2 linked regions of the Canis lupus familiaris genome follow. The protein of the gene in region 2 purifies or fractionates together with the protein of the main gene of each other region. This does not show direct contact. Links are inferred from orthologs where the notes say so. Each region holds a gene or a part of one and is shown on either strand. Other genes may lie near its edges. The genes, in order: ITGB1 and ITGA2.

The links.
Region 1: the proteins of ITGA2 (region 2) and ITGB1 purify together in Homo sapiens (co-immunoprecipitation; 3 studies listed by BioGRID and IntAct, with this or other methods). This does not show direct contact. The link is inferred for Canis lupus familiaris from reciprocal best matches to the Homo sapiens genes ITGA2 and ITGB1.

Annotation. Positions count from the first base shown.
Region 1 is NC_049223.1:3,973,400-3,977,225, reverse strand, and holds part of ITGB1 (integrin beta-1), read right to left. Parts: coding exon 3,728-3,826; intron 3,507-3,727; coding exon 3,284-3,506; intron 2,605-3,283; exon of another isoform or gene 2,232-2,604; intron 2,012-2,231; exon of another isoform or gene 1,788-2,011; intron 1,568-1,787; coding exon 1,335-1,567; intron 1-1,334.
Region 2 is NC_049225.1:63,113,472-63,117,297, forward strand, and holds part of ITGA2 (integrin alpha-2), read right to left. Parts: intron 2,876-3,826; coding exon 2,724-2,875; intron 977-2,723; coding exon 866-976; intron 302-865; coding exon 219-301; intron 1-218. UniProt on the Homo sapiens protein: Integrin alpha-2/beta-1 is a receptor for laminin, collagen, collagen C-propeptides, fibronectin and E-cadherin. It recognizes the proline-hydroxylated sequence G-F-P-G-E-R in collagen.

The sequences.
Region 1 (3,826 bases), on a different chromosome or scaffold from region 2:
ACTAGCTATAAAACAACAGTAATTGACACAGTGTGGTATATTGGCTAAAGGTCAGATGCACAGATAAATGGAACATAATAAAGAATTAGACCAACATACATAAGATCATTTGATTTTTCAAAGGTAGAGAAGAATCAGTCTTTCCAACAAAGTGCTAGAACTACTACACATCCATATATAAGAACTGAATCTCACTCCATATACTAAAATTAACTCAAAATGGGTTACAGGCCTAAATGGAAAAACCAGAAACTATTAAACTTCTAAAGAAAACACAGGAGAGGGCAGCCCCAGTGGCTCAGCGGTTTAGTGCCGCCTTTGGCCCAGGGTGTGATCCTGGAGACCCAGGATCGGGTCCCGCGTCGGGCTCCGTGCATGGAGCCTGCTTCTCCCTCTGCCTGTGTCTCTCTCTCTCTCTCTCATTCTCTCTCTCTCACATGAATAAATAAATAAAATATTTAAAAAAATAAAAGACTCATGCTTTACTGACTGAACTGGCCAAGTGTCCAATTTAAATTAAAAAAAAAAAAAAAGAAAATACAAGAAAAATCGTTATGAACCTGAGTTAGGCATGGAGTGCTAGATAGAACAGTAAAAGCAAGATCCATAAAAGAAAGACGGTAAATTGTAGTTCATCAAAATTAAAGCTTCTGGTCTTTCAAAAACAATGTTAAAAAGATGAAAAGATAAGGAAGCATAAATTGGTAAACATGTATCTGTAAATGCAAAATACAGAGACTTCAAGAAAAAAACAGTTTGGCTATTTCTTATAGGGTTAAACATATGCTTACCATATGCCCTCAAATGCATTTCTACCATATATCCAAAAGAAATTAACACTTACATTCCTACAACAACCTGTACAGAAATGTAGGAAATTTCAAAGAATATAACAAAAAGTGCCTACAAAAATCAAAATAAAAAATGTTTCCTCTTCTGAGAAGCTAAACAAATTCATGCTTTATAATATTCTTTAAAATTATCTTTCCCAGTAGCACTCAAGCCTAAATCAAGCTCAAATTCAAGCATCATCAATAATGAGCCAAGTCCTAGTGAATTCCTGTCCTGGTTAAATAAATGTCAGGCAGTATGCTGAGTATTTTATGTGGATTCATACATTTAGTCTTCAAACTCTCCATTCATAACACTTAAGACTTGTTTTTTCCTTCTTCTTTTATATCGTTAACAATACTATTTTTGAGATTAAAAGTGCCCTAACTTGAATTTAAAATAATCCAGCTGGAAGTGTTACTGGGTGCTAGGGAAACTGCCAAGAGGCCTAAGTAGCAGTAGAAAAGAAAATGGAAAGAATTTTGAAATGATCAGACTTTTACCTGGTGTCTCTACAACATGAACAATGGCCTCATTATTCCCATTCACTGAATATGTGAAATAGAACCAGCAGTCGTCAACATCCTTCTCTTTACAATGGGATAGGGGATCAACCTGGCCTGGTTGTGGTAATTTGTCCCGATTTTCAACCTTGGTAATGTTGAAATGTGAACATTCCTGTGCGCAAGTGTCTTTCTTTTCTCCTTTATTGAAGGCTCTGCACTGAACACATTCTCTGTGAAAACACAAATTGCATTAAAAACTTATTTAAAATAAATATTTGCTTAAGGATTATTTCATGGGAGTAAATGGAGAGGCATATGACACTTCTAGATGGGAAAACTAAATATAAAGACACTAGTTTTCCAAGTGAAGTTACATAGTACAGTTCAAATTAAAATCCAAAAAGAGAAATTAAAAAGTCATAAATAGAAGAAACAGAGTGCGGCATGAACATGGGGAAGCAAAAGAAGACAAGAAAGTATGCGACCATGAAGCGAATGCTTAGTCTCCGAGATCAGAGGCTTAAAGAGAAGGATAGATTAAAACCTAAAAAGAAAGAAAAGAAAGTTCCCAGTGTACTCAAGGAAAGAGAAGTCCCCCAACATGCTTCCTGCTTATTCTTCCAATATAACACACAGCTGGGCCCACCTTACCACATCCTGGTTGATACCAACTTTGTCAACTTTTCTTTTTTTTCTTTTTTTTTTAAATTTTTATTTATTTATGATAGTCACAGAGAGAGAGAGAGAGAGAGAGAGAGAGAGGCAGAGACATAGGCAGAGGGAGAAGCAGGCTCCATGCACGGGGAGCCCGACATGTGATTCTATCCCAGGTCTCCAGGATCGCGCCCTGGGGCCAAAGGCAGGCGCTAAACCGCTGCGCCACCCAGGGATCCCTGTCAACTTTTCTATTAAAGCCAAACTTGACTTAGTACAGTCAGTGATGGACTGTCTGTATGCCAAGTGTATCCCTTGTATAACTGACTGTGTAATGGCTGAAATTGAAAAACTGGGGCAAAAGTATCGAGTGGCTCTAAGGATTGCCAAGGATCTAAGATTCGAATGATTGCCATGCACACACAAAGGAACCTATGCAGATGACTGCTTAGTACAGACAGTAACTCAGCACAAGTGTTAAATTGTGGCCACAGTTGACCGGGACCTTAAACGAAGGATCCGGAAGATTCCTGGAGTTCCCATAATGTACATTTCTAACCATAGGTACAACATTGAGCGGATGCTAGATGATTACGGAGCCCCTCAGTTCTAATTCTTAAAAGATAGAGTTTTTCTGCATTCTTATACCAACTTTTTCTGTTGACAGTTCATATTAGCAATATGCTATAGTATGAATTATTCTTCTTACCCATTTGCTCTGTTACGAGCTGAGTATGGTTAAATATACTCATTTTTTGATGTTTTGAAATCAGTATTTTGTATCATTTTAAGTATTGTTGCATCTTTCTATAAATCAGATGATTGCTTGTAAAAAAATAAAATAAAAAATGAATAAAAATAAAAAGTCATAAATAAAACTAGCCTTATCAGACACTATAAATATATAATACAAAACCAAAATGATATAAGCATTGTGTTATTTGTACAATAACACTTCTTCAAAAGGCAAACCATCATTTTGCTTAGTTTAGTCAAGAGATCATAATGAAACTGGTAATACTAATTTCACAAAGGTTACCCTATGGGATTCAATTACATAGCCAATTCAGACCAAAATGATGGCATCAACTACTCTCATATGACACACAAGTATTGTATGACAAACGCTAGTGACTGAGAAAGGATCTTTAAGCTCAGAGTGGGCTACCGTGGGTCACATACCTTATTTCCAGTGTGACCTAACATCAGTACTGTTCTGGTTCTAGTGATAACAGTACATAGGTCAACAGACAACTAATATCAACTCTTTCAAGCAACTAGGTAATACTTACTTGTGTTCAGCACAGACACCAAGGCAGGTCTGACACATCTCACAGGTTGGCCCTTGAAACTTGGGGTCTGTACACTTACAGGCACCACACTCACAGACGCCCCTGCCATTGCAGATCTGCCCGTTCGTGGCCAGGCATGAAGTCGTGTCCAGAGAACAGTCACAGGCACTGCCAGTGTAGTTGGGGTTGCACTCGCACACACGACACTTGCAAACACCATTTCCTGGAATTAAAAATATCACTTCTCATTACAATGGTAAAAATATACAACCATGGCACTGACTTTAAAAGCAACAAGTAGTAATGGGGAAGGATATGTAGTGAAGGATGGACTGACCCCTCAATGCTGCCCTTATCCTACTTATTCACCAAGCAAACTCTGAATGTTTTTTATTGTACAAGATGGGATCACTTTTCATAACCATTTTAAGACCCCTTTCTCACCTCCACAAATTAAGCCATTGGACCTATCGCAGTTGAAATTATCACACTCGCAAAATTTGCCAGAATAAATTTCATTTGTATTATCCCTCTTCCTACAAA
Region 2 (3,826 bases):
TAATTACATTGCAGGGAGAAGAACCATCCCAATACAAATGGTTTTAGATTTCTTGTTTTCCCCCTTATAGATGGTAGAAATTAAAATTCAGATTTTAAGGGTCTTTATTAGTGATGGATGTTTCTTTCATAGAAAAAATCTCCATAAACATTCATTTGAATAAAGTGATCAATGTATCTTATTTCCACACTTTACACTGAGCTCTAAAGCAGACTTACTGAGTAGCTGACAGATGTTGGACATTCAGAACTAGATCTGAGATGCAAACTCCATCATCCCCACAGTCCTTGTAGAAAGGGATCTACAAAAAAAGGAAAAATAATCCCACACATGTGCTCTTGAGTTAGAAATCATTGTGGAAGGATCCATGTAGTATCATTCCATCTATATAAAGCTCAAAACCATGCAAAACTACACAATATTTTAGGAATATATGCATGATTAGCAACATAGGAAGGGAAGCGTCAATAAAAGCAAAATTTGAGGTGATGATTTGCCTGAAGGAGCAAGATGAAGATGAATGTGATAAAAGTAGGGAGGGATACAGAGAACATAACTATTTGTTACATTTCTTAAAGGTGGTAAGAACAAGGTGTTTAACTTTATGGTTATTTATTTCCTCAACAAATATTTATTGGACACCTATGGTGGACCAGGCACTGTTCAAGGGTCTGGGAATACAGCAGTGAAGAAGACAAAAATCTCCATCCTTCACGGAACTTGCATGTTGGTGAACTTTACACATATTTCACTTAGAAAACTAACAATTTGAAAGTTATGTCCTAGGTAGCTTTTGAACACGACTGCAGTGACTATGAAGCTTTCCTAGCCAGTCTGAATTCCAGGAAGGGTAAACCACACTTACACTGAAGACTTTGGCCTTTTCAGAGTAGGCTTCGAGGGCAGGGCTGGTGCCAGGGTGTTCCAGGCTGATGTTCACATACAGATCCAAAGAGTTGACAACATCAGAGGGCTTCTAAACACACAGACACAGTGAGGCAGTTTACTAGGGCACGGTAGTTCCCAAACAAGAAAATGACCACAATGAGTTCACAATTAACAACACAGTCCCCTCTCAATTATGGAGAATATCCTCATTTTGAATTCTCAAGACTCTTGCTTCTTCTTTTCTGTCCTAATTCTGTTCTTAGCCTCTCCACCAGCAAGACACTTAGAGACTTGGGGTTCAGTAAAGATCTGAAGCAGCAATTCTTAGTTGAGCTCACCAGAAATCTTGTTATCCATACACAATTTATGAATATTTAGAGGATATGCCCAGTTTTAATATTTAAAAGACCTGTCAGTACACAGCTCTTGGGTTGTTGGCTAGGTCTTTTCAGTTCCTACCGCCAAGACTTAAGAGTTCTTAGGTATCCTGACCAAATTTCTGGGAGGAAATATTGTAACTGAGAGGGGAAGGTTGCTCAGGGCTGGCTACTGGGCAATGACAAGAGAACTCCCTTCTTTAGTCAAAACCTAACTCACTCTACAAAATTAGATAGATTTCCTTAGCTGGCTGCAAGGCTGGCACACAGGATGGGCTTAGTATTGATATCCAATATGGTGTATCTTAACCGAATGAGATCTCTTCGCTGACCCAAGGCACATATGCCTTCTTAAGAACTTCACAGCACACATCAGCATGAAAAGGATTATGTGTGAACAATAGCTTGGCTGACTTCATTCCCCCAGAATGGAATGCATGTTTCATTTGATCTATGACTTAGCACAAAAATTGGAGAGAAGGAGATCCAGCTTCTAGCCCTTTAAAGAATCTGGATAATTGTGCATCTTAACGACAAAAAGGTCCAGGCCTTCATAAGTAAGTCTCCTTAAACATGAACAAGAAATTAAGCAATGCAATTGATTTTAATTCCTCTATTAACTCTGTTTTCCCAATCATACTTAGTAGTTTTTGAGATGTGAACTTTGTATCATTCATCTAATATCAGGAATATCTCGGAGTACTCCTTAAATCGGCATATACCTCAGACCTTCAAATCCAAATTTCTGATGGTGGGAACCCAGAATATGCATTTTATAAAAGTTCTCTTGGCAGTTTTTATGTATCTTAAACTCTGAGAACCATGTTCTAGGAAAGTTCTTAAGCAGCTCTTTTAAAAATGCTTTCCTGAGGAAATCACACTTTCAAATACCATTACATAGTTCCTAGGGGAAAATAGTCCTATAATTTATAAAATCCATTTCCTGTTGGAAATTTTCCTTCAAGAAGCATTTTTCCTACTTGTGAGATTTTCAAAACTCATGTCAACTATAGTAACTGTGGCATAAGATTGGAGCAAATAATTTTTACCTCATCCTTCACCTATGTTAACTTAAATCCAATAGTGGAAATCACAATTGGAATTGTCCTTTTTAGCAGCTTGAAAATAAAAATTTTCCCTGATAAGAAAATACTAAAATAAAACTGTCTACTAAAAGCCCATCCTGTTAAACATTTAAGAAAGAAATCTTAAAGATTTCTTTAAAAATATCATTTTTTAGACTTTCAGTTGTAATCCTAAATAAAATTTCATACTAGTAACATTTTCATTGAATGTGACCATGTACTAGCAGAAAAAATATTATTTCCCCCCATAAAATTAAACAAGAAAAGCATTAACTAGAAGGGCAAGCATTTTCTAACTCCCGAGTTTTCTTTTTAGACGTAGACCATTCATTAGTTACTCAGAGGAAAAGAGGAAAGAGGACTGTGGCCCCACCTGTATGTTGATGGTGTACTCAGCGCAACTCTGTGCTTGACTTATGAGCATATTCTTTTGCAAACACCTTTCATTATTTTCTTTAAATAAACCTCTGGAGGTTACTCTGGATGAATATAAGTTTGCATCAATTGTGATATTGTATATAATGGCTATGAAAAAAATCATAAAGAAATGTTATTACAAATAAACCTTTACAGAAAAACCATCCCTGCCTTATTGTATCTTACTGGGTGAATTCAAGGACTTTGAGAAAATATAAAAACAGTCTTTACACTGCATTGTGAGCAGTGACCAACCATGACATTTGTAATTCAGGCTCTGGTATGATGTAGGTGACTGTGGATACAGACAGATGGGATTCAAAGCATGGTTTGAAGCAGTGTGGAGCAAAGCAGATTTGCCACCAGGAAATCTACTGAGTGAATTTGGGCAAATTACTCACTTCCTCAAGCATTGGTTTCATCATCCCTAACATGGTGATATGATAAAGAAGCAGTTACTGAGTGCCCGCAATTGAACACATTCTCATATGTTACCTTATAAAAGTTTTGCTATCAACCTGGAAAATGGATATTATCTCATTTTTCAGATAATAGAATAAAAGGGGTAAAATAAACCGGCTCCATTCACAAAGCATGGTCAGAAATAAAACTGGGGTGATTTTGAAATCAGAACTCATGTTCTTTCAGCTTCCATGCAGTTGTGAGGATTAACTGCTATTTGAGGATTAACTGACATACTTTGAGAGAACACTCTAGATGCTTATATGAAGGGAAGGCACGCAACTATGCAGTCATAAGTTTGGAATCAGACATACTTGGTTTGAATTCTAATTCCACCATTTATGAGCTCAATGGCTTTAGGCAATTTGTGCAACCTCTTTGAACCTCCATTTCCTCATCTATAAAACAGAGATAAACTACTACCCCAGAGAAATGAAAATGAGAAAAAAAAAAAAAAACAGAATACTACTACTAACCCAGGGAAATGAAAATGAAAAAAAAAATGCAATAAAAATTGATGCCAGTAGCCAATATACAAAGTATCAGAGCCTTTAACTAGAGTCTGCTGCCCAAAACTGAGGAAGGTGATCTGATGAT